Linked DNA regions of Lonchura striata. The protein of the gene in region 1 interacts with the protein of each later gene in a biochemical or structural test. Links are inferred from orthologs where the notes say so. Each region holds a gene or a part of one and is shown on either strand. Other genes may lie near its edges.

Region 1 (7,090 bases):
CTTTCTGTCTTGACATGGGTAATCCCTGAGTTCCTTTAAACTCACTGGTAATTACCATCTAATTTTAGAGACTCACTGGCTTTTGTATTTTTTTTTCCTCTTTCTTGAACAACATAATTCACAATAATCAACCTTGAGACTGTTCATGGTGTGTGCAAAGATTTCACACAGGACCCTCCCTCAAGTTTCTTAGTATTGCCATGATTGTCCTAAGTGTTCCTTCTCTATTTTTGCATTATAGACTTCCTGACAAGCTGTTCCATTTCTGAAGTTTCATGTTTCTTCCAACTTTGAGAAGTTATTAATCAAACTAATCTGATATTGTTTGATTTGTTTTTTCACTTTTCTATTTGAACACACATTTTGAAAGACACCTGACTTCTTCATCTTGTGACTTTTCTTCTAAGAGTTCCCTTTAGCCTTCTCAAATGGAGCTTTGAAAATAGAGGCACATTTGCAGAAAGCTTGCCTCTTTAAATGGCCATTACTGAAGCTGGACACAAACATAACATCACATTTCCTTTCACTTTGTTGCTTGACCATAAAAACAGCATTTTATTTTTATCATACCACTATCCATTCCCAGGGTAACCCCCTTTCACAGAAACTGGTTGTAAAGCAGAATGTGGATAAGGTTAAGTATGCCTTGAAGCATAAATTTTGTTGAGACCTGACCCCATTATTTTTCCAGATCTGGGTTCCCAGTAAAAGAGTGATATTGTAGTGAGCACAGAGAACTTTCCACTTGTCCTAGGGTGACTTTATGGTGTTTGTATTCCCAATCATGTGTTCTGTTTATGTTTGATATTATCTTCTGTGCTTTCAGAACTGACTCTGAAAGTGAAGGTTTGTTTTGTCTTGTTATCAGCCGGCTCACCTCCCCCCCACCCCCGGTCTGTTGTCTAGGAGAGGCTAATGCTTGCTGGCTGGCCTGGCCTGCTTGCTTGCTCTTGCTCCTCCTTTTGCTTTTGCCTTTGCTTTTGCTTATTAGTTAGTTTAATTAAGGAGTCCAATCTTTTTTATTCTGAACTGGTTTTTTTCTTTCCCTTTCCTGAGTATCATTCCAACCTGCTCTGGACTGGAACCTGGGAAACACCGAGGAACACCGAGAGCCTGCGTTTGGGGATCTGCAGCAGCCATCCCCAGTGCCAGAGACCAAGAACTGGGCAACCACTCCCAGGAGAGACTTTCTGAATTTGAATTTGTCATCTCTTCAGAGCAGTGAAAGAGTTTTTGTCATCTGGTGTTTTGGGGGTTTTTTTTGTTTGTTTTTTTTTGTTTTTTTTGGTGCTGGGAAGTGTTTTGCTTGTTAAATAAACAGTTTTTTTCCCTCTTCTCTCTGAGGAAATTCTTCCCGAACCGGGGGGGGGGGGGGGGGGGGGGGGAGGGGCTGTGGGTGGGTTTGCTTTCTGGGGGCTCCTTCTGGAGTTTTTCTCCCAAATTTGCCCTAAACCAGGACACCACTAAAGGACACTAAAGTGATTAGAGAGTGGGACAATCTGACCTATGAGGAGATGGTGAGGCAGCTGGAGGAAAGGCTTGGTGGGGATCATATCAAAGGAATTGTTTAGCCCAAGGAGGAAAGGCTCAAAGTGGGGATCATATCAAAGTGAATAAATACAAGATGGGTCCAAATTCTTCTCAATGGATCCAATATCAGGATAAGAGGCAGCAGGCACAAATTAAAATGAAGAAATCCTATTTAAACATTATTTTTTTTTTTTAAGTGTGATAAGGCACTGGAGCATGTTGTGCAGTGAGGTTGTAGAGTCTCCATCCTTGAGGACATTAAAGCCTGATTTGACATGGTACTTGGCAATCTGCTCTAAGTGACCCTGCTTTGAGCAGCAGAGTGGACTAGATACCTCTACAAAGTTCATTCAACCTCAGCTATTCTATGTCTCTGAGATTCTATTTTCCTTATTCATCCTGTCACCCCTCCAAAAAAAAAAAAAAAAAAAAAAAAAAAGCCAAAAAGTCAAAAAGTCAACCTTAATCTTTTTCCATGTTACTTCAGTCTCCCTCTCCCTCCTGAATTTTCTCCCCAGTCCAATAGTAGACACACAGAAAAACACACAGTACCTGTGAAAAGAAAGAGGAGAGAGCCCCCCTTAGCTTGGCTGCAGCAGCCCTCTCCCCCACCATCACTGCTGTGGTTATTGCCACCAAGGAGGCATCAGGAAGGGGCACAGGCTGGGACCTGCCAGCAACTGGTGGAGATTAATTAATCCCTTTTTCTTCCTTTTCCTCTTACTTTCTTCCTGAACATGCTTGTCACAGGAAATGGTGAACCTTATGTTTGTCACAGGCAACATTCTACCATAATGGTGCTGTCACCTTTGGAGCAACAGAGATATGGGGGGAAATACAAGTCAAATAGATCCTTCAGAGGTCAGACTAAGGGCATCAGCTATATCACTACCCTAGATGCAGATGCAGATGGATTCAGACTGTCTACAAATCCCCTGCCCCTCAGTATGCAGTGGTAGTGCAGTATTTTAATTACAGCCCTGCTGAGATCCCATGAAGCCTGGTGTTATTGCTCTGCCTCCCTTGGGAATGCCAGCTGGTGCCTATCTCTGTTAAGAGCTAAAAGAGTCTGGCAAGCAGGCAGTGCTGAACTGGAAATTATGTAGGAATGCCTCAACTTGTAGGTGACAAGTTGCCAGGGAGTTGAATCCTCAGTCATGCTGATGTTAGGAGATGAGCTGCTTTGCTCCCAGGAAGAAATTAATTGTTTTAGTAGGAAAGGAGGCCAGTCCTCCATGAGCAGTGGGATGGTGACCTCACTCCCTAGTCTGTAAAGGCTTCATTTGAGGAAGGTACACATGGCTCTGTTTCAGCAGACTCACGACTTCTACACATCTGTCCCTGCTACTGGTGAGAATTATTCACTGCATGGCACCACCACTACCAGGGACAAGACCATGGGGACACTAACATCTCCCTTCATCTAGTGACACCCCTGAAAAAGTAATCTCCACGATGGGATCTGTTGGATGATTCCTCTCAAAGATGAGGTACTCTCTAATCTTTGGGAAGGAGAGAAGTCTGTTATATTTCTGCAGGATACTTACAGCAACCTAATTATGAAGCCTGGGTAGAAGAGAGTCAGTCACCTCACCCTCCATGGTAGTGTGCTAACTCCATGTTGCCAAAACATTTACACAAAAGTCCTGGGTTTGTTGAATGTATGCAATGCATCATGGTACATTTTCTTGCAAAGGCTTTTGGAAATTCAGGTAGCATATATCAACCAGATGACCAGATAATTTTTCATGTCTTTTCAACACTTGACAGAACTCAAGGGCAGGACTCCTTATGGGAGCAATGTTGGCTGAACAATTTGTATTTCTCTCAGCATCCCCTAATTCCGTTATTGCACAGATATTTCACGTATATTGCTCTTACCCATGGCAAGGGAGTTGGAACTAGATGACCTTTGAAGTCCCTTCCAACCCAAACCATGCTATATAATTCTAGGATTTCTACTAATTCACCTGGAACACATATAGAGCCTAGAGACCTGCACTTCCCCAGGACTCTACTGCAATCCCTTTCACAGACTGGCATCAGGTTTTCTATCATGAAATCTTCAGATACCAAGCCAAATTTGGAGTAGGAGGTTGTACAGTACCGCAAGTGATGTGGCTTCTTCATTCATTAATTTGATGAGAAAAAAAACAAAAACCAACAGGGTGAGCCACTTCGGTATTTGTAGGGTTTCGTACGTTCATCTCCACCACAATCTCTCCTACAGGTGCTCTTAGTGCAGACAGATCCTCAATGGAATGCTTTTCCAGAGGGGAAAAGCGCTCCCCGGCGGGGAATGCTGCCGCTGTGTCCCCGCGGCGGAGCTGGACAGCGGCCTCCGGCCCCGCCCGGCCCCGCCCCGCCGCCCCGCCCCGCCGGCCCGCGGCCACGCGGGGGGCAGCGGCGTGCAGCCGCGCCGCGGCTTTGAAAGGATGCTTTGGCTGCTTCCTTTTTCCTCCGCCTCAGCAGTTAATGCGTTTACCTCCTCACGCATCCATCACTAAGCCGCTGCTCCGCGATGCCCGGCGGGCGAGCGGCGTGGTCGCAGGGGCGCCGCGGCCGCGCCAGGTGGCCCCGCGCCCTCTTTGGCCGCAACATGGCGGGCAAGGAGCCCTTCGCGGCCGTGCTGTCCGCCCTGCGCCGCTGCTACGCCGAGGCCGTCCCGCTGGAGACCTTCGTCCGGCGGCTGGGGGACGGCGGCGCCGGGGACGCCGAGGTGCTGCGGGCCGACGACGCCCCCGGCTACCGCAACTTCGTGGGGCAGTGCCTCGTGTGCGTCCCCCGCGGCGCCCGCGCCATCCCGCGGCCCTTCTCCTTCCAGCAGGTAGGAAGGGGCCGGGGGCGAGGCCCGGCCGGGCTCCCGGGGACTGCGGGGCGGCGCGGCGGCCTTTGCCCCTGTTGGCGGCTGCCGGGCGGGCCCGGCCGGTCCCGCAGCCTCCTTCTCCGCTCCGTCCCGGCCGGAGCCGGCGGGGAGCGGTGGGAGCCAGCCCCCGCCTCTTGGCTGGGAGAGCAGGGCCCGGGTGCCGGCGTGGGGCGGCGGTCGCGCTGCGGGTCTGCGCGCGGCCCCTGGCGCCCGCCTGCCCCTGTGGGTACGGGGAACAAGGCGAAAGTGGCCGGGGAGCGACGGGGGATGGAGAGTGCCCCAGTCTTGAGAGAATGAAGAAGAGGCGGGTAGAACGCGCTGCAGGTCGTTGTTTAAGCGGAGGAAAAGCTTTTCAGAGAGGGAAGACCGCTTTTTTTCTAGCGCCATATGAGCAAAACTGTGCTGTGGTAGGAAGCAGATGTTGCCAACCCAGGGCAACTTGTTAAATGGGTTTTGGAAGTGTGTGCCGAGTCGTTTAGTTGAATTTTCCTTTACATGAAAGGAAGTGGAGGCCTCAAGAAAATTAGCGTTAGTTCCCTGGAGGTTGGAGCCTGCGCGAGCACGTATGCGTGCCTGCGAACATGGATCTGCGAACACGGATTCATTGGAGGCCGTGGAGTCTGAGCTGCTGTGGGTCTTAGGGGGAATAGTGCAGGGCGTTTCCTGGGCATAAAAGCCAGGATCAAAAGGGCAGGTGTTAAAAAGACTACCTTCAAGTCATCGGCTTACGTTGCTGCATATGAACATCTTGCATTACGCTTGGAAAATCTTAATTTTTGAGTGTGATGCATGTGAATAATTAATACTGCTTTCAAAGCTGATGTCTGGGGCTGTGTAACTTTGCATGTGTTTATATTTAAAGGGTATATTGTGGTTTATGGAGGAGTAAGTGGAAAAAGCTAATTATCTTTTTTCTTTCTTTCTTCAGTTATCTAGTCAGAGTGAGGTCACCGCAAGAGTTGTTCAGAGACTGTGTGAAAAAAAGAAGAAGAATATCCTCGCGTATGGATACTCCTTACCAGATGAAAACAGTTCTCAATTCCCAGTCATGCCACTTTCAAAGATACACAGCTACCTACCCAATACTGCCACAGAAACTCTTTGTATCAGCGGCTTCTGGGAGACACTGTTGAGCCGGATAGGGGATGATGTGATGATGTATTTATTGGAACACTGTGCAATCTTTATGTTGGTTCCCCCTAATAATTGCTACCAGGTTTGTGGACAACCAGTTTATGAACTTATTTCACATAGTGTAGACTCATCCCTGGTATTTGTTAGACAAAGGTTCTCAAAATATAAACGTACTAGCTTGCTGAAATATATGCAAAAAAGGCTTATCTTTCATAGAAATTATCTTTTAAAGTCAAACAGACAAAGATATGAAGATAATGTCTCCAGGATGAGAAATGAAAGAAAGAACAAGAGACGAAGCTTAGGGCCCACTGACCAGAGTTCTGCAAAAACCGTTTCTAAAGGAAGCAAACAGATCAGAATGGTTACTGAAGCTCAGGAAAAACAGAGTAGCTCCAGTTCATGTGTTTCAGCCGCAGCTCCGTCTCTAAAAAGGAAGATTCATAGAGAACAATTTGAAATTCCAGCCAAGAGGGCAAAAATAGGAGAGAAAGTGAGAGAGGAAAAGGCTTGTAGTCTTGTTCCTGATGTAAACCAAAGTAGTTCCGAGAGATCTGAAACTGGGTATGTAGCAGCACATTCTGCAAGTGTCATTAAAACCCCCTGTATTTCTGAAAGAAGTAACAGTGCTGTGTCTGGTCCTTCTTTAGTTCACACATCTTGTGGCAGGAGGAAATTTGTGGCAGTCTCTCTTCTGCAGAGATTTCAGAGTAACAAACCTCTAGAGTCCAACACTGAAATGCAAGCAGAATCCCATAGGAAAAGAGTAGAGATGCGTACATATGAATCTCAGTTGGCTTCAGGACAAACCAAACCAGTGGAGGGTTCAAAATGCAGAGAGCAGGAAAGTCCCCAACCTCATTTATCAAAGAAGTTACCAAAGAGACTCCTGAGTTCTGCAACATACATTGAGAGGAAGTCTCTTCTGTACTCTTGCAGGAGTTTCCAAGAATGTTTTCCTAAATCATTTGTATTGAATCGCTTGCAAGGTTCTCAGGCAGGTGGAAGACAGCTTGTAGAAGCTATATTCTTAAGCCAGAATCAGGTGCAGCAAAGGCATAACCAAAGTCTGCCAAAACACAAGCGAAGAAAGAAGACATTGCCCAAACGTTACTGGCAAATGAGACATATATTTCAGAAACTGCTATTGAACCATGGGAAGTGTGCTTACTCAGCTCTCTTGAAAAAAAATTGCCCTGTTTGGATATCTGAAATCAGTATGACAAAAACCAAGCTGTCTTGTCAGGTGGCCTTGTCTGAGGAAGCAGAGGTTCAGAAGCAAGAGGAACAGTCTGGGAAAGAGCCTGCTAAGTGTGCGACAAGCAGCAGATGTGAATCTGGTCACAATGATGTGCCAGACAACTTAGGTGCTCCCTTGGCAGAATCTGCGCGTGGGGAGTTGCTGCCGAGTGAGGAACAAAACCCACGAGAGGCATGTGATTCAGCCCTCGCAGAGCTCCTCAAGCAGCACAGCAGCCACTGGCAGGTGTACATGTTTGTGAGGGATTGCCTGGAGAAGGTCATTCCTGCTGAGCTTTGGGGTTCAAACCACAACAAGTG
Region 2 (7,055 bases), on another chromosome or scaffold:
TACCCCGATGTTCTGGAGCATCCCAGTACCTCAGAGATGTACAGCTGACAGATCATGCGTTCCCCGTGCTTGATCTCCTCTGGGTGGTGGGTTATGAAGATCCCTCTTCCCTGGCAGCTGTTGTCAGGCTTGCAGATGAATGTTCTTGCTTTCTTCATGGATCTATAGGCATGGAAATCTCCGTAGCTGTGCAAGGGAAGGGTGACTATCACCAGCTGCAAAAAACACCCCTCTGAACTCTCTCCTAACTAACAGCTGGGTACTGAAACCATGGTGCTGCAGGCCAGCACACACTGAACCTCTGCAGGGGATGAATCCAACTCCTAATTTCTAATCTACAGGAGTCACAGACTGGTCCCTGTGTGACCTGACCCAGCCTCCGCATCCCTCCTTTCCCCTGCACACATCTCCACCTGTACTGGCAGGTGTGCAGGAGAGGTCACTGTGTGCGTGTCACAGCAAGTGAAGGTTTGGGTTCCGGTGCCCAGAACGAGCAGCCCAGCAGCCTCCCCTGCCCGTGTCACCCCATCCCCAGCGACTCACTCAGCTGGCAGGCACCACGTGCGGGGGAAGATGTTGTACTCCTTGGGGAAGAGCCGGAGCATGCGGTTCAGGTTGCGAGCCAGCAGGTCCTTGCGGCACAGCTCGATCATGCCTGGGAAGTGGTTGATCTTCTGAAAGTAGTGCAGAAAAACCCTGATCAGCAGAGCCCTGTGGGGATGGATTCTCCTGGCCCCGAGGAGAGCCTGCACATGGAGAACCAGCAGTGAGAGGGAAGCCAGGCCTGCGGCTGCCTTGAACTACTGCTGGGGGGTGAGACTTGCTACAGCTGTTTTATCCGAGCTTCACTACTGATTTATCTGCCTATTCCATCTTAGCCCTGGAGCAGTGAAAGGGCTGTTTAGTTCACAGCACATCACAGGGCTGGAACACTGCTGCTCCCGCCACAGCTGTGAACGCTGCTGCCAACACCAGCCAGAGACATGGCACCAGCAAAGGCGTCTGACCCTGCGCCCTGGAGCCGAGGCACAGGTGGCACAGGGCGCTGCTTTGGGTGCTTCTGTTCACAGACAGCCATGTGTCACCCTCCCTCCCCAGCAGTTCCTGCTGGGCAGCTGTTCCATTTACCTGGAAGCGCTTCATTTCCATGAGGCGCTCCAAGGCGACCGTGCTGTCGGTCCAGCACACCGTCCACTCCTCATTCTCTGCCGCTTCCTTCAGCCCGCAGTGCTGCGCCGCCCGCCGCACTGTGCCAAGGCAAGCAGCGACAGGGCAGCCACGCTCAGGGACTGATAAACCCCCAGAGTAACCAGGGATGGAATGTGAAACAAGCCTCTGGCTGAGGAGCCACATACAGGGCCTGACACCCCCCCAGAATAACATGGGATGGAGTATGCAGCTCCTCAGGCTGCAGCTCCCCTCTCAGAGGTATAAAGTGTTGGCATGAGCCCTTGGAACATGTCAAGAACACCACTTTTATCTGGCCAAATCCCCAAGCCTCTGGCTGCAAGTGTTCTGGGAACTCTTAAGCCTCTAACCCCACCTGTCTTGAGGTGCCAGGACCCCTCAGCAGCAGGATTGAACTTCCCATGTGTCTTACAACTCACAGGCAGATACAAGTCTTGTGAAGGTGTGAATTTAATCTCCCAAATCAAAGGTCTTTTAGCAGAACATAGCTCTGCAGAAAAAGGTCTCTGCTAGCATGGTTCATCGTGCCAAGTATGAATTTGGCAGGGCTGATGGAGATCCACGCACACCAAGATCCCTTAGCAAATAACACCCCTCAAGGGCCAGAAGTTTGTTGTTTCGAGATCCAGCTTGTGGAAGGAGAATGGGAGGGGAGAGTCCACCAGTTCCCTGGAGTCACCAGGGATGAACAGCACAGGGAGAGGTTCCAGGTACAGATCCTGCCTGCTCACCACCAGCTTTACCTTAAACAGCTGGCAACTCTCAGGCCCTGTCTCCAAGTCCAGGTGCTCCCTTGCCCTGTACCTGATGAAACCCTTCTTGCCCATTTTAGCAGACAGCTGGCAAACACAAGTGTGGGGCATGTTCAAACACAAGTGAGGGCTCACGCTGCTGTTGCACATTTTTAAATTGGGGGGAATCTCAGTCCAAAATGTGACAAACTCTCCACTAACACAAGAGTCCTGTGCCAGTCGCTGGCAGCAGTAAATAAACCGGTGGGAAGCGGGTGCCAGCACCGCTCCTGGCTGGGCAGGCACCTGGAGAACCTCTGACTTACCACTCTCGTACTTGCAGCCGCTCAGGTTGATGGAGGGGACACTGGAATAGAGACGAGATGACAGCAGCTCAGCGAGGCACGGGACAGAGTGGGGACACAGCCGATCCCCCCATACACAGAGCGCCCCGGGCAGTCTGACCGAGCCAGCCCCGGCCCGGTACAGCCCTAAGGGGACGGGCACGCTGGTTCTGGGCACGGAATGCGCCTGGCTGTGTCACACAGGGGGTCGCTGGGGCACTTCCAGGGAACACTATTTATTTTGGGACCGGCTCCCGGGGACTGGGGAAGGCCGGACTCCGGCCGGACCCTGCCGGGGCCGCGGGCCCGCACTCGCCTGCGCTTCCTCCGCGGCTCGGGTGCGGCGGGGGCAGCGGGACGGTCCGGGGGGGCCGCGGCGCTGGCCGCCTCCTCGCCCGGAGGGGTCCCCGGGGATGGGCCCGGGCCCGTGCTCCCGCCGCCGCCGGCCGCCGCCATCGCTCCGCTCCCGGCGCCGCCGCGTTCCCATGGCGACCGCACCAGCGAGCCGCGGGCCCCGCGGGCGGAGCGCCCCGCGCGCCGCGTGACAGCCGCTCCCGCGTCCTCCGCCGGCAGCGCCCCCGGTGCCGGCAGCGCTGCAGCGGCCCGGCCGGTGTCCGTGCCACCGGCTCAGCGCTCCAGCAGCCGCGCCAGCTCCCCGCCCAGGTGCAGCAGTTCGGGTTCGGGCAGCAGGTGCTGGCGGATGGCGCTCAGGGCCTGCACCTCGGTGATGTCCCGGTAGAGCGGCTCGGCGGGCAGCGGCAGCAGCCCTGCCAGCTCGCACAGCGCCACGGCGAAGGGCTCGCCCGCCTTGGGGCCGAAGAGGGGCCGGCGCGCCCACAGCAGCACCCGCAGCCCGCGGCCGCCGCCGGCCCCGGGCCCCGCCGGCGGGTCGCCCCGCGTGGCCAGCACGTTGCAGGCCAGCCCGGCACGGCCCAGGTGCTCCGCCGCCCGGCACACGGCCCGCGACACCGGCTCCAGCGCCGCGGGGCCGGGGGCGAAGAAGAGGAAGGCGGGGGCCGGTCCGGCGCGGAGCAGCCCCAGGCCCGGCCCCAGCGGCTCGGCCGGCGCCTCCTCCAGCGGCAGCGGGCGGGCCAGGTAGAGCCCGTGCAGGTGCAGGTGGTTCACCGAGGCGCCGCCGCCCAGCCCGTTGAAGCCCACGCGGAAGCCGGGGTGGGCGCTGAGCAGCGCCGCCTCCAGCGCCCCGCGCAGCGCCGGGGCCGTCAGCGCCTGCGGCAGCCGCCGCGCCGGCTCCGGCAGCAGCAGGACGTGCCCCCGCTCCAGCGGGCTGGCGTTGATGGCCACCAGCAGCGGGTCGGGGGGCGGCCCGGGGCCCCCGGCGCGGCGCAGGCGGAACAGCAGCTCGGCGGGGCGCAGCCGCGTGAAGTTGAAGGCGCCGGGGTCGAAGGGATCCCGGAGGCTGCGGACGGGCTGTGGCGGGCGGCGCTCCGCGCTGCGCTTCTCGTTCAGCTGCGCCACGATGCGCACGGCTCCGGGCAGGACGCGGGTGGGCAGCGGTCCCAGCCGGTACCGGAACAGTCCCCGCTCCATACGGTCGCTCCAGCCCGCCAGCAGCACCCGGTCGAACCGCGAGAGCGCGGAGTCCGGGTCGTCCCAGCCGGCTGCCTGCAGCACGAAGTCCTCCTCGCCGTACACGAACTCCTCGGGGCTCGGCTCGCCCGGCTCCGCTCCCGCCACAGCCGCCATCTCCGCGCTGCCGGCGCCGGGAGCCGGCCGTGTGCCCGGCGGGCGGGGCTGGCCGCTCGGGCGGCCGCGCTTGCCCCGCCCGGGGCGGGCCGCTGCCGTTGCCGTTGCCGCGGCAGCGGGCGAGTGACGTGCGGAGGGAAGCGGCGCCATGGGCGGCTCGGCCAGTCTGATCCCGCGGGACTTGCTGAGCGAGTACCAGGTACCGGCACCGGCACCGGGGCGGAGGGTCCCGGAAGGTGCCCAGAGGCCAGGAGCCCATGGCTACTGTGCCCTGGCTCAGGCCTTGGCCCCGGTGCCGACCCGTGCTGTCCCCGCAGGAGCTGACGTTCCTGAGCAAGCAGGAGATCTTGCTGTGAGTACCGCAGTACCGTAAGTGCCCCCCGTGCCAGCCCGGTCCCGCGGGGTTCAGCCTCTGCCGCGGGGCACGGAGAGCTGCGGCCCTGCCCCGGGGCTCCCGTTCCGCCGAGACGGCCAGCTGAGCCGGGAGGTGCCGGTGGCGCTCCCTAGGAGCCGGCTGTGGTTGGGCGAAGGTCCGCGGGTGCTGCCGGTGACGCCCTGCCCAGCGGGGTAGCGGCCGGGGCCGGCCCGATCTGGTCGGGAGCCCCGGAGCCGCGGTGGGCAGCAGCCCGAGCGGCTCCTTGCCTGGCCCCGGGAGCGGCTGTGGGACCCGGCCCGGCAGAGCTGGCAGGAGCGGTGGGATGCGGCCACCGCGCCCTGGGGTGCGGCCACCCCGCTCGCACCACAGAGCCGCTCTTTTTCTTGCCTCTTAAAGTGCCTACAAGAGGTTCAGTGAGCTGCTGCCGAAGGAGGAGAGGGAGAACGCCTGCTCCGCGCGGGTTTCCAAGAGCCAGATCCTGACGCTGCCTGAGCTGCGGGTATGGTGCCCTGCAGACACGGGACACTGCTGCTCTGGGGTTAGGGCTCCGCGCACCCAGCACGGCCTCCCTGCGCCAGTGCTCTGTCCTCAGCTGTGCCACTGAAGAGCTTCCTTGTCCTCACCGAGCAACTGACAGTCCCAGGGCTGCTGCTGTGCAATGGGGGATCCCTGCTGTGCAGGATCCTGGGGGTTCCTCCTGTGCCACAAGGGGCCCTGTCTATCCCTGCTGCATGGGGCTGCATCCCAGAAGGTGCACGGGACAGGTCTGACCGTGCCATGGGTGATGGAGCAGTGGCAGAGCAGGGCAACTGCTCACCTGCTGGAGCAGCAGCCAAAGTGTGCCTGATGGAGCCAGCACGGCCCAGCCCGGCCTGAGCCATTCCTGTGTCTACAGGCAAACCCCTTCCAGCACCAGATATGCCACGTGTTCTCAACCTCAGAGAGCGGGGATGACAGCATGTCATTTGAAGACTTTCTTGATATGCTGAGTGTCTTCAGCGATTCTGCCACCTCTGACATCAAATCCCACTATGCCTTCCGCATCTTTGGTAAGGCTGGGGAGAGGTGCTGTGTTCTGGGATCACTGCACCTTGAGGAAGTGGGAGCAGGGTGATGGGTTGATGTTCAGGAGGGCTGGCAGGGCCCTTGGAGCACCCACAGGGATGGTGGCTTTAGGAACTCCCAGTGGAACAGCTGGTTTGGCATGGTGAGGTGCATGGAGTGCTGCAGTACCGGTGTCTGTGACTCCCTGGGGTCACTGCAGCCCTGCCAAAACCCACCTTGTTTCTCCCCACAGACTTTGACAACGATGGGATTCTGGACAGGAAGGACCTGGAGCAACTGGTGAACTGCCTGACAGGGCAAGGCGAGGAGTCCCAGCTGAGCAGCGCAGAGATGGAGCAGCTCATCCAAAATGTGAGCCCCGCTGGCCAGGGCATGGGCACAGCCCCAGGCACAGGGCTGAGCGCTCACCTTCCCCCGCAGATCCTGGAGGAGTCCGACATCGACAAGGATGGCACCATCAACCTCTCTGAGTTCCAGCACGTTGTCTCCCGCTCCCCGGACTTTGCCAGGTGCGGTGGTCTCCGGAGGCTGGCTGGGGGCAGCAATCACCCTGATTGCTCAGCTGGCACTGGGGCAGAGCTCATGGTGGCAGGAGAGCAGGGCCGCCCTGTGCCAAGTCTGCACAATGGCAGAGGGCTCTGTGTCCCAGGCTGGCTCTGCAGAGGGATTCTGGTCCCTGCAGCACTGGGTGCTTGTCAGCTCTTTGTGTGACCTAGCAAGCAGGTGCAGATCCTGTCGTATCTCTTGCAGCTCCTTCAAGATTGTCCTGTGAGCCCCGTGGCGGTCCAGCAGCACTCCTCCAGCTCCTGCAGGACTCCTCTAGTTCCTGCAGCTCTTTGTGGGCTCAGCCATTTCCTCTTTCAGGGAGCACAGGCCCAGCCCCTCAATGGCCTGGCTGTGCTGCGATGCCTCAGGCAGGAACCCTCCAGCTTCCCTCTCAGGTGCCTGCTTGGCAGCCAGGGGTCCCAGGAATCTGCCTCTCCTGCATCCCCTCTGCTGTCCTAGCAATAGAATTTGAATCCTTATGCATTCCAAGGGCAGCTCTGCAGGTGAGGGAGGAAGAGCTGCTCCTGCCTGGGGCCACTCTGCACCAGCACAGCCCCTCTCTGCCCTCAGGACAAATTCCTACTTTGTGCCTTCCAGCAGCAGGCAGGGAGCTGCCTCTGCTGCCAGCATCTTCCTGCCTCTCCTGTATTTCTGGGAGCCTGCCTGCTGCCACATGGATCCATTTCTCTGAGCAATAACTGAACGTGGATCCTCTGAGCAATAACCAAAAAGTGGATCATTTTTTACAAGCAATAACCTAAACAGGAATGCTTTCTCTGAGCAGTCACCCAGGAGTCACTGTACAGATGCCACCCCCCAGCAGAGCTGTCCCCCCACGGCTGTGCTCAGAGCCTGTGCTGCCCCTCCTCCTCCTCCTCCTCCTCCTCCTCCTCCTCCTCCCTTTCTGTCTTTGCCCTCTTCTGGCTCCAGCACAGCAGCTGCTCTGCCGCCCTGGCCTCTTCCTCCCCCATTCCCTGTGAGGACACAATTAAAGGGCTCCGGTTTCACCCTTGCTCTTTGCTGCCTTTGTCCAGCTGTGGGACGGGTGCCACTGGGGTGTTGGGGACATGGGCTCCTGCCAGGCCTCTGCCTGCATGCCAG
Region 3 (7,291 bases), on another chromosome or scaffold:
ATCCCCGCGCTTGGCGCTGTCCCTGGGAGTGTCCGAGGCCGGGCTGGACCGGGCTCGGAGCAGCCCGGTCCGCTGGAGCGAGGTGGGATTTAAGCTCCCTTCCAGCCCAAAGCGTTCCAGAATTCCATAAAAAAACCGAGCAATAGCGAAAAGGCCCCTCAGGATGGGGTGGAGGCTCACGGAAAGCCCCGGGGCTGCCGTGGTGCTGCTGTGCCCGGTGCAGGTGAGCCGCTGGATCTCCTCCCCCACGTGCATCCCGAGCGGAATCCCGCGCTCCCGGCTCCCCCGGAGCTAATTAACCCTAATTAATCGCCTGCCTTCAGCCACCCGAAGCCAGCTCGTGGCAGAGCTCTGGTGGACGCGAGCGTTTCCTCAAGAAGAGCCGGAGTTTTCCACGTGCAGGGTGGAAAACGGGCTGGGAAAGAAGAGCTGAGCTGCCCTGGGAGCTGCCGGCAGCATTCCCACGTCTCCAGCGGCAGAACGAGGGTTCCCAACTGCCAGGGAGCAGCTTTGGGTGGGATATTGGGGAAAAAATTCCTCCCTCTGAGGGTGGTGCAACACTTGAATGGATTTTCCAGAGGATGTCCCATCCCTGGAGGTGTCCCTGCACATGGCAGGAGGGGCTGAATGAGCTTCAAGGCCCCTTCCAACCCAAACCATTCTGTGACCTCCACGGGCCTGGCTGGGAGGATTGGAGGCAGTAGCACTTCCTGAGGTTTTGTTTTGTCAGGAATTTGGGCTGGGGACAGCGTTGACTGATGGTTTTTGGGCCCTTATCCTCAGCCAGGCTTTTACTTTTCTTCTGAAGCCCTGAACAGTGGAGATGCTTCATCTTAACGTGAGTGAAAGTGAGAGAAGTGTGATCACGTTGGAGTTTTCTCGTGTAATTTCTGTAGATTTCAGCATCCTGAAACTGCAGCGCTGCTGCATCTGCATAGAATTGTCTAAAATCTAAAATGAGGCTTTCTTAAAATGGGGAGGAAAAAAAAAAAAAGGCGCCTTTCCAGGGTGTAAAAATGAAAGGAAAAGTCATTTTGTAAAACAGGTTTTATTGCTGTCTGGGAGGAGGAAATCTTGTTGAGGGCCTGATTCCTGCAGTGTCCTCGAGCTGTGGGAGCTGTCAGGATACTTCCAGGAGACAAAGCTGGGATTCCATAGGCTCGGGATACAGGCAGAAAACACAAGAACAGGTTTGGAAACTTCCTCGATGCCACAGATGGAGAGATTTGAGATTCCCCTGGTGAGTTCAGCGTGCCAGAGACCAGGAGAAATCCAGGGATATCCAGCAGAGCTCCCTGGATCAGGAAGAGCCTTGAGGGCTCTGTGGTCAAGCTGAGCCTCCACGTTGCCCATCAGTGCTGCTGGGAAGCTTCTAGAACTTGTTCCACAGTGCTGGAATAACGATTGGAATGTGGGGATTGGAAGAGCTGCAGTGGCTGCTCAGGAAGTTCCCAGAGCACAGGTGGATGGGACAGAGGAAATCCTCACCGGAACAGAGCGCTGGGAACCACCCAGGAATTTAAAAGGGTTCTAAATTCCCTTTTAAACCTTTAAATCCCTTTCTGTTTTCCAAATCCCATGCTGGAGGGGGGGTGCTGGATAACCAAAACACCCTTGGCAGGAGGCTGAGCTCCCTCGGAGTTGGGGTGAGCAGGATGGAGCTCCGACAGGCGGTGGGGCAGTGCCTGTGAGAGGAGATTTTCCACGGGTGTGTGGGAGCTCTGGGAGCACGTGCAGGGCTCCCCACGGGCTGCTGCTGTTTGGGGTTGTCTCCTGGGAATCTCCGTGTGGGCAGGAGACAGAGAGGAGCTGCGGCTTCCGCCTCATCCCAGCTCCCCGGCAGGTCCTGCAGTACTGGTTGGAACTGGTGAGTCCTGACTGGAGCTGACTGGGAGGTTTCCCTCCTGCCTTTGGGAGGATGAGATTGGAAAAGCAGATAAAAGGAGGAGAGGCAGCTCCAGCACGTTCCGAGCACTCTGGGGGTGAATTCCCAGGAAAGCAGTGCAGGTTTAGGCTCAGAAACCTGGAATTATGAAAATTAGGATTTCCAGAAACATGGAACTAGAATTATGGCAGAGTCAGACAGATTTCTGGGAGGTCACGGGCTCTGAGCTCTCTCAGGGTGAATTCCTAGGAAAGCAGCACAGGTTTAGGCTCAGAAACCTGGAATTATGAAAACTAGGATTTCCAGAAATCAGAATTATGGCAGAGTCAGACTTATCTGGGATCTCACTGCTCTCTGCTGCTGGGACATGTGTGTGTAGCCTTGAGCTGAGTGGGATTTCTGGGAGGTCATGGGTTCTGAGTGCTCTCAGGGTGAATTCCCAGGAAAGCAGCACAGGTTTAGGCTCAGAAACCTGGAATTATGAAAATTAGGATTTTCAGAAATCAGAATTATGGCAGAGTCAGACTTATCTGGGATCTCTCTGCACTGGGACATGTGTGTGTAGCCTTGAGCTGAGTGGGATTTCTGGGAGGTCACGGGTTCCGAGCGCTCCCGGGGTGAATTCCCGGGAAAGCAGAGTGTATTTAGATTCAGAAATGTGAATTCTGGCCAAGTCAAACTCATCTGGGGTCTCGCTGCTCTGCAGCTCGGGCGTGTGAGCCCTGTGGGGTTTCTGGAAGCGCTCTGAGTCCTGGTGCTGCCTCAAACCCCCGATCCCAGCCGAGCTGCCGAGGTGTTATGGTTTGATATTGGTACCATGTTAGTGTTTTTATGAAAATGTAATTTTTTAATTGAATGTTGTGAAATGGAATTGAGAATAGAGTAAAGCAGGCTTAAGTTTAATAATAAGGGAAAAAATATTAAGTTATTATTATAAAAGAAAGGAAAGGGAAAAAATATATAGATTAAAATGAAAACTTTGTAAAATTTTTTTTATTATTTAATTTTTATAAGTTATACTGAGATATCATTTGGATTTTAATTAGGTTTTTAATTTTTAGAGAATTGATACTTAGTTTATTGAGGGAATAGAGGTTTTTTTGTGTTATAGAGTTTTAAAGAAATTCTACTTTTAACCCCTCTATATTCTCAAAAACATGTCCACCTTCAATTACTCAATATCTAAATTAACCTCTTCTTTCCGAAAAAAAATTCTTTCTCCATGTCAAACCACAACACGAGGTCACGCGTTCCGAGCGCTCCCGGGGTGAATTCCCAGGAAAGCAGCACAGATACAGATCCAGAAATGCGAATTGTGGCCGAGTCAGACTTAGCTGGGATTTCGCTTCTGTCCAGCTCACACGTGTGTGTGTGTGAGTGTGTGTGTGTGTGTGTGTGTGTGTGTGTGTGTGTGTGTGTGTGTGTGTGTGGAGCCTTGAGCCCAGGGCGGGTTCTGGGAGCGCTCCGAGTCCTGGTGCTGCCTCAAACCCCCGATCCCGGCCGAGCCTCCCTGGGAAGGCTGGAGATGTCTCCATTGACATTGAGAGCTGGGAAGTGTTAACACCATTCAGCCCCTGCGTCACCCGGGCAGGGACACTGAGATTTCTGTTAATAACGGGGCTGGAGCCACGTTCCGAGTGCCCCACGCTGGGGGGTTTTGTCTCCTGGCACAGAGGGAGCAGAGCAGGGCATTTCTCATCCTCCTTTCCTCTTGGGAGTCTTTCATTCCCCCTTAAAAGAGGAAATCTGTGTCCAAGAAGAGTTTAAAAATACCACAGTAAAAAAATTGCTGCTCTGCTGCTGCACTTCACCTGAATAAGGTGATAATTAACATTCCGTGAAATGCTGCTATGAGGGAAAGCAGCGGGTTTTCACCCCTGGAGCAGCTGAAACTCAGGGCTGAATTCAGAATCCACTTTTTTTTATGCTCTTGGAAATGAAATCCTTGGACATTGGTCTCTGCCCAGGTGTTGTGGCACCTACAAGAGGTGTTTGGGCTGCCCAAGGCATTGTGGCCATCCTGCTGCCTTTCCCTGAGTGGCACCAGTTTGCCCAGGACCTGTGGCACTGGGGGAGCTCAGAGGTGGCTGGTTTGGGGTCCAGCTGGAGCTGGGCTGGGCCATGGTTGGGTTCATCCCTAGGAAATGTGGATGGGAGCAGCAGGAGCCTTTGGTTGAGTCCCTTTGCTAAATGTGCCACAGCTCAGTGCCAGCAAATAATGGCTGATGAGGCGAGTCGAAATCTTCATCTGGAAGTTTAGCAAAGGTTACCTTAATAAATGGTCTGAAAAGTTGTTTTTTGGTCAGATATTGGTTTAGAGAGAGCAGCACAGAGGGCCTCAGCTACTGTCACAGGCCATGTCACATCAGCTTCCCTGTTTAAATCCTTGTCCAGCTCAGAGCCTTCCACCTCATCCCACAGCTGGGAAAAATTCCTCCCTGTGAGGCTGGTGAGGCACAGGAATGGCAGATAAAGGGGGAGATAAGGTTAAAAAGCAGATTAAGATGGGATATTGGGATGAAATACCTCCCTGTGAATCTGGGGATACCCTGGAATGGATTCCCCATCCCTGGAAGTGTCCAAGGCCAGGCTGGACAACCTGGGCTGGTGAAAGGCGTCCCTGCCAGGGCAGGGGGTGGCACTGGCTGAACTTTGAGGTCCCTCCCAACCCTTCCACCGATCTCAGGAAGACAAAGGAGTTGAGGAACACCCTTGGGCTCTGTGCCTCTGCAGCAGCCCTGCTGGGAGGCCTTTGCTTCTGGAATGCAGCCGTTCCCTGGGCTGGGCCTGGGAGGGGGAGGAGGTGTCTGAGCCCTGCCAGCTCCTTTCCCCGCTCCACCGAGCAGTGCAGGTGAGTTCTCAGGGTGGGACTGCAAACACAGGAGTTGCTCTGGAGCTCTGTGCCTTTCCCAGCTCCCCTGGACATGCTCTTGCTTTTTGAGGTGCAAAGGCAGAGGAATTCCAAAGTGTGTGGCAGTCCTGGTGTGAGCACTTGTAAAAGCTTGGAGCAGTGATTCTCCAGCCTGTGCTGGCTTAATTGGGTCTTAATCATAGCAGATCCATTTTTTTATAGTATCAATACCCCAAAAAGGGTTTGGTTTTTTTTCTGGTAGTTTTACTTTAGGTTTTAACTCTTTGCGTGACGAAAACCACTCTGAAGTCTGCCTGTGCAGCTGTTGGAGGTGGTGGAGCTGCTGCCATAATCTGTAGTATCTCATCTTGAAGTTTATCATAATTTTGATCTGCTGAAATGTTGATTTCAGTCTCAGATTTCAGTGGCTCCTCCCAGGAGCTTTCTGGGGGCGTCACACTCCAAATGCACCAAATACATAATTTCTTTTGATTCCAGCCCTCTCTTTTCAGTTTAAAGCAACTTTAAAAAATAACAGTAAGCTCGAAATGAAGGTTTTAAGTGCAAAAAGCTTTTTTTTTCCCCTTGGATTTCTTGATGAAAATCAATGCCCCTGTGTCCCTGCTGTGCCCACAGGCAGCCTGCCTCTGCAAAGTGGTACGACCGGAGGGACTACGTCTTTATCGAGTTCTGTGTCGAAGACAGCAAAGACGTAAATGTAAATTTTGAAAAGTCCAAACTCACGTTCAGGTGAGTAATTCCGGCACAGGGAGCGCTAAGGAGAAGCAGATTTGTTCTATGAGATGTTTTTTGGGCTAAATACTGATTTCTTTTTCTCTTGCAGTTGTCTTGGAGGAAGTGATAATTTTAAACATTTAAATGAAATCGATCTTTTTAATAATATCGATCCAAATGTGAGTATCCTCCTGACTCTTCCTGAGTTCTTGATGCTGGTGAGGGGCTGGCACAGCTTGTCCAGAGAAATTGCAGATATTCCATCCCTGGAAGTGTTCAAAGCCATGTTGGAGCAACCTGGGCTGGTGGAAGGTGTCCCTGCCCATGGCATGGCTTTGGAACTTGGCTTTTAAAGTCTTTTCCAACCCAAACCATCCCTTGGTTCTTGGATCCTAAAAAATACCATCTGTTCTTTAGGCTGCTCCCAAGATTTTATTCCTTTAAAATAGGAATATGGAATATTTTCTAAGGGGAATTATTCCTTAGAACATAAAAGCTCAAAGTCAGATCCAGGAAAGATTCTCTGGGGGGGTATTTTTCAGGACAAGGAATAAGGGAAGAGGTGAAGATAAAGGAAGGATGTCAGCAGTTCCTGGTGAAGGTCATCCTGATGGTGCTAATGGATATTTGCTCTTTTTCAGGAATCAAAGCATAAAAGAACAGACAGATCCATCTTGTGTTGTTTACGAAAAGGAGAGTCTGGTCAGGCATGGCCAAGGTTAACAAAAGAGAGGGCAAAGGTGAGTCTGGGCATCTGCTGCCTCCCCTGGCTTTCAATTTAGTGAATATTTGGGTCATGTTCAAACTCTGGAGCAGTTTTGGGTCACTTTCCTGCTCCTGATCCCACGGCAGCTCTTGTTAACCTGTTCTAAGTGACAACCACTTCCTTGTCCTTAAATAATTCCTTGTCCTTAAATAACTCTTGGGTCTTGCTGCAGCTCAACTGGCTCAGCGTGGACTTCAACAACTGGAAAGACTGGGAAGATGATTCAGATGAAGACATGTCCAATTTTGATCGCTTTTCTGAGGTAGGGAACTACAAATTCCTGGAGTTTTGGGAGTTGCCAGGCAATGAATCCTAGCTTTTTGTGCACCATCACTTTGTAATTCCTGCATGGGGGCAACTGATCTGTTACAGCAAGGGGAGGGCTGTTGGTTTTGGGTTGTTTTGGGTTGGATTCACTCCAAAGCGTGGCTGTTCTGTCTCTGAGCAGATGATGAACAACATGGGAGGAGACGACGACGTAGACTTGCCAGAAGTAGATGGGGCAGATGATGTGAGTATGTGGGTGCAGTGAACACCTGCAGGGCTGGCTCAGAAGTCCTGCACTCACCCCTCAGCACCAAAAAAAGGCTTAAATAGCCCCAAACCTTGTTTGCACAGGTGATGTCACCTGGGGAGGCCCTTTCCCTCCCCTCTCAGCAGTGCTGAGGGTGCTGGGGACACCAGTTTGGGGTGTCTGTCTCTCTGCAGGGATTGGGGGTCACTGTGGGTCTAAAGGTGCTGGGGACACCAGTTTGGGGTGTCTGTCTCTCTGCAGGGATTGGGGGTCACTGTGGGTCTGCAGTGAGGCCAAACTGAGCTCCCTGTGTCATCTGGAGCTTGGAATTCCTCAAAATCCAGATTTGGGAACAGCAGCTCTCTGCTGGCAGGGGAGAGGGTGGGTCTGCTCCACTTAAAGGTTGTTTGTTCTCCTTTGCAGGACTCACCAGACAGTGATGATGAAAGTAAGTTGTTGTCTTTGTTGTTTTCCCCTCACACACCTGCTGAAGGCTCCGAGCCGCCCTCGGGCAGGGCCAGCAGATGTTCATCCTGGCTG
Region 4 (7,013 bases), on another chromosome or scaffold:
TCACAACAGACAAATGCTGTGACATCTGCCTGTCCCCCCATTTCCCATGAAGAGCCATCTGTGGCTGCAGCTGTGTGTGTCACAATCAGCTTCTCATCCCCCTTGTGCTGTGGGGTCCTGGCATGCGCCACTAGGTCCCGGGTGCTGTCCTGGGCACAGGGCAGTGACAGGGGACAGGCATCTGCAACAGTGACAGGGGCACCAAGGGGGTCCCACAAAGGCCCGTGCCCGCTCATGCCCACCCTCCATGCCTGGGGACCCACAGGGGCCTGAGGCGCCCTGGGAGGGGCAGATGGTTCTGCCTTGGCACAGGGGCAGCCCACAGAGGTTCTTGGGGTGGGCACTCTCATCCCCTCTCTGTCCTGCTCACAAGCACTGTGGGGACACACTGTTCTCCCCAGGCCCCATAGGGACACTCTGGGGGTGTCTGGTGTCCCCCAGTCCCATGCTGGGGTGCCTGATGCCCCCTGGCCTTGTGCTGCCCAGGCTGCCCACACAGCCCAGCTCCACTGCACATCTGGGATGAGGACAGACATGGGTCACTCTGCACGCCACAGGAAGGGCCAGACACATACACCCTGCTTTGGGCTGGGGTCACTGAGCCCCCTGTTATTTATTTTTACACATTGTACTACAATTCCTGTTTTTACTCGTTTGTACCTTTTTTATTGTGTCTTGTGGAGCTGCATGTACCAGCGCTGCCCACGGCCGTGCAGGGGCCACTCGGTGCAGCCTGAACCCAAGTGCCAATGTCTCAAAAAATGCCTTAATAAACCACACGTTTGTACAGACACAGCCCCATCCCTGCTGCTGTGGGCTCGTGCCAGGCTGGCACCATGTTCCCAAGGCACTGACCAGAGCGGGGATGCTGGACCTGCATCACGAAGGGCTCACATGAGCCTGGCCAGGCCCTGGCACCCACATCCATGGCTGCGTCCTGCCAAGTCCTGTTCCCGAGAGGCCAGTGAAGTTGTGGCACCCCATGGTCCTGGGGCTGTCCAACAGTGAGGCTGAGTGTGTTTCCATACAGGCATACGTGCAAACACAGCTGTGGAAGGCATGTCTCCACACGTGCACACAGCTGGTCCCGCATGCCACAGGCATCGCTATCCCATCCCCTACCCTCGCTCTGGTGAGGGCTGTGGGCAGGGCTGTGCAGGCACCCAGAGCTGTAGCAGCCACAGCTGGACACGTCTGCCCAGCAGGTACCTCACATTCCCAGGATCCCCACTGAGGACACCTGGACACACAAGTTCCCCAAGGCACAGCCTTATCACAGCCAGCATGCACAGACCTGCTCTGGGGATCCCAGTGCTCCAGCAATCCCGCCAGTCTGCCCAGTAACTTTGGCTCTGCTTCTCCCTGTTGGGTGATACAGACATGCACGGGGCTCTTTGCTGATCTCCAGACGCTGTGACCTGATGCCACACTCCTCACCAAACAGTGCCCCCTGGCCCCAGGAAACAGTTACCAAGCTGGAGAACCAGTAGCGGCCGTGCAGATGTCAGGTGTTGGATGTGGCCAGACCCGTAGTGACCATCAACCAGCTACATATGATCACCCACTTCCATCCTGCTTTACCTTTGTTTGTTGTTCCCAAAACCAACCTGTTTACTCCCTGTCCTCAGCTCTCAGGTTCCAACACCCCACAGCAAGTCCTGCACAGCCCCAGCCTATTCTGCACAGCCCCCAAGGCACGCCCAGCCCTGCTGGCAGCACTCTGGGGCCAGGGAGCAGCTCCTGTCCCCCGGCTCTGACAGGGCTCCTCACTTCACTGGGGTAAGCATAAGCCAGCACAGCCGGGGCAGAGGGGGAAAGGACGACCACCCCGACCCTGATGGTGTCCCTGGGGTTCCCTCTGCTCCTTCCTCCCCCAGCCCGACTCCTTCTAGCTCCCTGCTGGGGTGCAGTGGGCATGCTGGTTGCCCTCAGTGCCACTGTCCTCCTCTGGTGTTCCTGGCCTCGGGAAAAGCCAGCTGCACACAGTGGGGACTCACTTCACCGCACCTGTGGGAACAGCACACGAGGGTCCCGGAGAGCGAGGCTCCAGCCAGGGGACACAGAGGCTCCCTGACCTCCCAGGCGCTGGACCAACAGCAGATGCTCCTTAACACGATTAGCTCTGCCTGGCCGCCTTAATCCTGGCTGTCCAGACAGATCCAGGCATCATCCCCTGCAAATCTCATCCCACTTAGAGAATCCATCCCCAAACTGGACCTGGGCCGTGCAGCCCCGACAGCACCCCAGCCCCCGGTTGCGGCCAGGGCAGCTGGTTCCCCCGTGTCTGCAGCCAGGAGGAGGCCGGGGCTGCCAGGCCAGGGCAGCCGTGGGGCTGGAGCAGGGGAGCAGGAACAGACAGACACCTCTGGTGTTGCTCCAGCGCGGGGGATTGGCAACCTCGGCCGGGCAGGTGGTTTTCCTATTGCCTGTCTCTTCCTGGCCTGGGCCCCGCTCTGCAGAAGCAGGAAAGCAGCTGGGAACTGCTGGAGCCATGGGATGTGCCGTGGGACTGGGCTTGTCACTGAAACTGCAGGAAAACAAAAAAACTCTCCAACATTTATACTGTGAGAGAATCAAGGCATTGCTTTATTCTGGCCAGGATGTGCAACAGAAATTGTTTCATCCACATATGTCCTGGGTTGTGCAGAGAAAAATCATTCCATGACACATGAATTTTACTACATTTTCTACATATTTTATACAGCCAAAGCACATAGAAATTCATTGGTTCATTGTCCATTTGTCCCAAGTGTCAACGTTCTGTGTTTGGTTTCCTATTCGAGGAGTGACGTCTGCAGTTGATGTTCGTTCACGGTTGTTAACCTTTGTGTATCTCCTGCGCTGCCCCCAGCAGCCCCTCCTGCATGGGACCGCTCACCCCCCGCCCGGCCAGGGACCCCAGCAGGGTCCCCCGCCTGTCAAGGGCCTCTCCTCCCAGTCCGCGGCCATCGGTCCTGCACGGACTCTCGTCCTGCCTCCAGCCCTGCAGGGAGCCCTGCCCCCCGGAGCCCGGCACGGGCCCTCGGCCGAACGCCGTGTCCGAGCCGGGAACGTGTCCGCACCGCGCCGGGAGACGGCCGGGAACGGGCTGGGGGCGGCCAGGGCCGTGTCTGAGCCGCCTTGGGGCGGCCGGCAGGCAGCGAGTCCCCGCTGGCACCGAGTCCGGAGCCCGGTACCGTGCCTAGAGCCCGGTGCCGCAGCCCGGAGCCTGGTACCGTGCCCGGAGCCCAGATCCCGCCCCGTGCCCGTACCCCGGTACCGTGCCCGGAGCCCAGATCCCGTCCCGTGCCCGTACCCCGGTACCGTGCCCGGTGCCCAGATCCCGCCCCGTGCCCGTACCCCGGTACCGTGCCCGGAGCCCAGATCCCGCCCCGTGCCCGTACCCCGGTACCGTGCCCGTACCCCGGTACCGTGCCCGGAGCCCAGATCCCGCCCCGTGCCCGTATCCCGGTACCGTGCCCGTACCCCGGTACCGTGCCCGTACCCCGGTACCGTGCCCGGAGCCCAGATCCCGCCCCGTGCCCGTACCCCGGTACCGTGCCCGGAGCCCAGATCCCGCCCCGTGCCCGTACCCCGGTACCGTGCCCGTACCCCGGTACCGTGCCCGGAGCCCAGATCCCGTCCCGTGCCCGTACCCCGGTACCGTGCCCGTACCCCGGTACCGTGCCCGGAGCCCAGATCCCGCCCCGTGCCCGTACCCCGGTACCGTGCCCGGAGCCCAGATCCCGCCCCGTGCCCGTATCCCGGTACCGTGCCCGTACCCCGGTACCGTGCCCGTACCCCGGTACCGTGCCCGGAGCCGAGATCCCGCCCCATGCCCGTACCCCGGTACCGTGCCCGGAGCCCAGATCCCGCCCCGTGCCCGTACCCCGGTACCGTGCCCGTACCCCGGTACCGTGCCCGGAGCGCCCCCGGCGCCGAGCCCGGTACTCCACCCGTCACGTGAGCGCTGTCACGTGAGCGCTGTTTTGGTGTCTCCGCGTGGCGGGAGTCACGCGGCCACACGTGACCGGGCGGCATGGCGCGGGGGTAACGGCACGGAGCGGGGCGCCGGGACACCGGGACACCCCGGGACACCGGGACACCCCGCCGGGGGGCGGTAACGGGGCCGGGGCGGCCTCGGCGGCCATGGGGTCCGACGGGGCTCCCGGGTGATGGAGGCTCAGGGGGTCCGACGGGGCTCCCGGTGGCGGTGGGGACGGGGACCGGGGGGTCAGGCGGGGTTCCTCGGTGGTGAGGGCTCGCGGGCCAGGCGGGCTCCCCAGTGGCAGGTAGCGGGGTCAGACAGGCTCCCCGGTGCTGGGTCTCGGCGAGTTCCGGGGGGCTCCCCAGACCCGGGGCGAGGGGTAGTCAGACGGGCTTCGGGCTCGGTCCGCGGTCAGTGCTGTTGCCCGCGGCTGTGCCATTGCCTGTGCTCCCCTGAGCCCATTGCAGGTGTTGGGGGATCCCCGCCGTGCTGGCGCTGTGTGCGGCCGCCTGGAGCTGCGCCCCGGGGCTCGCGCTGCAGCTGGAGCGGGACCAGCCGTTCCGGTAGGTGCGGGGCGGGGGCCGGGCCAGGCCGGGCCAGACTGCGGTGCCGGTGCTGGCCCCGCTCACCGCCCACCCTGCAGCGTGCCCCCCGGCTGGGCCCACGCCGGCCGCGTGGATCCCGGGCAGCCGGTGCTGCTGACCTTCGCCCTGCGTCAGCGCGGCGCTGCCCGTCTCGCCCGCCTGGTCCAGGCTGTCTCGGACCCCCGGTCCCCACAATACGGTAACGGCCACGTCCCTGAGGCCCGAGACCCTCGGGGCCTGTGAGGGGATCTGTAACCCCTGTGTGCCTCCCAGGGCAGTACCTGTCCCTGGAGCAGGTGAGGGACTTGGTCCAGCCTTCCCCAGCCACGCTGATGACAGTTCTGAAGTGGCTGCAAGGCCATGGTGTAGAGGACTGCCGGAGTGTCACCACCCTTGACTTTCTTGAGTGTTACCTGCCTGCAAGGTGAGCTCTGAGCGCCAGAACTGGCTCTGCTGGCCCTGTGGTGGCTATCCCTGTGTCTCACTGCTGTCCCATCCTGTGGTGGCTGTTCCTATGTCCTAGTCCAGTCCCACTCCGTAGTGGCTGTCCCTCTCTCCCAGCCCTGTCCTGTCCTTCGGTGGCTGTCCCTGTGTCCCAGGGCTGTCCCGTCCCACAGCGGCTGTCCCTGTGTTGCAGTGCGGCCGAGCACCTGCTCCCTGGGGCCGAGTTCCACCGGTACGTGCAGGGCCAGCGCAGCCTGCTGCGGTCCCCGCTGCCCTACTCTGTCCCCGCAGAGCTCGCTGAGCACCTGGACTTCGGTACGTCCCACCTGGGGGAGCTGAGGCTGCGGAACGCAGGTGCTGCTGCTCCTGGGGGACAAACCTCCCTCCTGCAGATCCCCGTTCCGTGGGATCCAGTGACCGTCCCATTAACAGCGTGGGGGGTGCCAGGCTGAGGCTATGGCTGAGCCACAGGAAGGCTGAGGAAGGCTCAGCTGTGGGAAGGCTGAAGAGGCTCTTCCCCTGGGCCAGGGCTGCAGGGCTGGGCTCTCCAAGCCCTGCTGTTGGCCTGCCCGTGTAGAAGTGGGGGCAGTGATGGGGAGTCCAAGGGCTCTGTCCTGCCCTCCCAGGGCTCTGTGCCCTGACAGCCTCTCCCATCCCACTGGGCTCTGCTGCAGTGGGTGGGTTGCACCGGTTCCCCACGGAGCACAAGGCAATTAGCAGAGCCAGGGCCAGGAAGGACGCAAAGCTGGCACGAGCATCGTTCCACCTGGGCGTGACACCGGCTGTCCTGCGCCAGAGATACAACATGACAGGGGGGGATGTGGGGCTGCTGCCCAACAACAGCCAGGCCTGTGCACAGGTAAGCACTGCCTTGTCAGAGGCATGTGTACCGGGGCAGTCCAAGGGTTTGGTGCTGGTCTGGGGGTCTTGGGACAGCTGGGTGTCCCTCAGTGGCTGCTGGGAGCACCTGGTGTAGCACAGACCCGTGCTGGGCAATTTCCTACGTCAGGATCAAAGCGTTACCTTGTTTTTTTGAGAGGAGACAACCTGTCCCTCTGTATCCCACAGTTTCTCGAGCAGTACTTCCACCAAGCTGACCTGGCTGAGTTCATGCAGCTCTTTGGCAGCGGCTTTGCCCACCGCACGCAAGTGGACCGGGTGGTGGGGCACCAGGGCCGTGGCAAAGCCGGGCTGGAGGCCAGCCTGGATGTAGAATACATCATGAGCACGGGCGCCAATGTCTCCACTTGGGTCTTCAGCAACGCAGGTACTGGGGAAGAGCCACGAGGGGCAGGGGGAAGGAGAGCACCCAGAGAGAGGAGGGGAGGGCCTGGAGCAGGGAAGGGAACATTTGGAGGTTTGAGGGAGGGGGCTGGAACAAGGGAGGGGAGTGCTGGGAGGAGTGAGGGGAGAGCTTGCAGGGCTGTGCAGACAACTGGCTGTAGTACTGCCCAGGTGCATCCCCAGCTGCTGTGGGAGCGGACCCTGTGTGCTCCCCAAGTCAGAGCTGGCACCGCATTCCCAGCTCCTAGGGACATCACTCCTGCTGTGTGTGGTGACTTTGAACTCTGTATACCTTCAATCTTCAGAGTATCCTGAAGCAGGGTTTCTGTTGCTAGCACCATACAGAGCAGCTGCCCCACTCAGCTCCATGAAGGAGGGCACAGCCCTCCTCCCGTGGGGTTTTCCAGCTCTGCTGCAGCTGAGCTCCCACCCACGAGCCTTCCAGAGGAACAGATGAGGGAGAGTGAGGGAATTGGGAAAATAAATTGCCAAACAGCCTACACAAACACAAACAGGGCACAGTGCTAGGGGCAGTGTCCTTGTCCCAGACTGGGAACTGGCTGAGCAGGTGGGTGCCACAGGGACAGCAGCCCTGTCCCTGATGGTGACGGTGACAGCAGATGAGTGCTGCCCTTCCCTCCGTCCTCACACAGTTACTGGTATGGGAAGGATGCAGATGAGTGACATGGGTGACCGAGAGTGAGTAGGTGTGCCTGGGACGCTGCTCCCCTCCC

Evidence for each region.
Region 2: the proteins of TERT (region 1) and CIB1 form a complex in vitro, tested with the Homo sapiens proteins (2 studies listed by BioGRID). The link is inferred for Lonchura striata from reciprocal best matches to the Homo sapiens genes TERT and CIB1.
Region 3: the proteins of TERT (region 1) and PTGES3 form a complex in vitro, tested with the Homo sapiens proteins (2 studies listed by BioGRID). The link is inferred for Lonchura striata from reciprocal best matches to the Homo sapiens genes TERT and PTGES3.
Region 4: the proteins of TERT (region 1) and TPP1 form a complex in vitro, tested with the Homo sapiens proteins (2 studies listed by BioGRID and IntAct). The link is inferred for Lonchura striata from reciprocal best matches to the Homo sapiens genes TERT and TPP1.

Annotation. Positions count from the first base shown.
Region 1 is NC_134603.1:64,360,547-64,367,636, forward strand, and holds the start of TERT (telomerase reverse transcriptase), read left to right. Parts: upstream 1-4,090; 5' UTR 4,091-4,129; coding exon 4,130-4,357; intron 4,358-5,324; coding exon 5,325-7,090. UniProt on the Homo sapiens protein: Telomerase is a ribonucleoprotein enzyme essential for the replication of chromosome termini in most eukaryotes. Active in progenitor and cancer cells. Inactive, or very low activity, in normal somatic cells.
Region 2 is NC_134613.1:24,356,121-24,363,175, reverse strand, and holds CIB1 (calcium and integrin-binding protein 1), read left to right. Parts: upstream 1-4,055; 5' UTR 4,056-4,115; coding exon 4,116-4,166; intron 4,167-4,284; coding exon 4,285-4,319; intron 4,320-4,739; coding exon 4,740-4,842; intron 4,843-5,238; coding exon 5,239-5,392; intron 5,393-5,640; coding exon 5,641-5,759; intron 5,760-5,828; coding exon 5,829-5,917; intron 5,918-6,158; coding exon 6,159-6,180; 3' UTR 6,181-6,961; downstream 6,962-7,055. Other genes in the region: tubulin polyglutamylase TTLL13, read right to left, coding at 30-186, 544-674, 1,129-1,149; GDPGP1 (GDP-D-glucose phosphorylase 1), read right to left, coding at 2,891-3,967. UniProt on the Homo sapiens protein: Calcium-binding protein that plays a role in the regulation of numerous cellular processes, such as cell differentiation, cell division, cell proliferation, cell migration, thrombosis, angiogenesis, cardiac hypertrophy and apoptosis.
Region 3 is NC_134629.1:5,675,239-5,682,529, reverse strand, and holds the start of PTGES3 (prostaglandin E synthase 3), read left to right. Parts: upstream 1-4,278; 5' UTR 4,279-5,343; coding exon 5,344-5,486; intron 5,487-5,580; coding exon 5,581-5,650; intron 5,651-6,112; coding exon 6,113-6,211; intron 6,212-6,409; coding exon 6,410-6,499; intron 6,500-6,685; coding exon 6,686-6,748; intron 6,749-7,174; coding exon 7,175-7,199; intron 7,200-7,291. UniProt on the Homo sapiens protein: Cytosolic prostaglandin synthase that catalyzes the oxidoreduction of prostaglandin endoperoxide H2 (PGH2) to prostaglandin E2 (PGE2).
Region 4 is NC_134604.1:116,992,365-116,999,377, reverse strand, and holds the start of TPP1 (tripeptidyl-peptidase 1), read left to right. Parts: upstream 1-3,994; 5' UTR 3,995-4,018; coding exon 4,019-4,029; intron 4,030-4,434; coding exon 4,435-4,530; intron 4,531-4,610; coding exon 4,611-4,750; intron 4,751-4,824; coding exon 4,825-4,975; intron 4,976-5,188; coding exon 5,189-5,310; intron 5,311-5,669; coding exon 5,670-5,854; intron 5,855-6,063; coding exon 6,064-6,262; intron 6,263-7,013. UniProt on the Homo sapiens protein: Lysosomal serine protease with tripeptidyl-peptidase I activity. May act as a non-specific lysosomal peptidase which generates tripeptides from the breakdown products produced by lysosomal proteinases. Requires substrates with an unsubstituted N-terminus.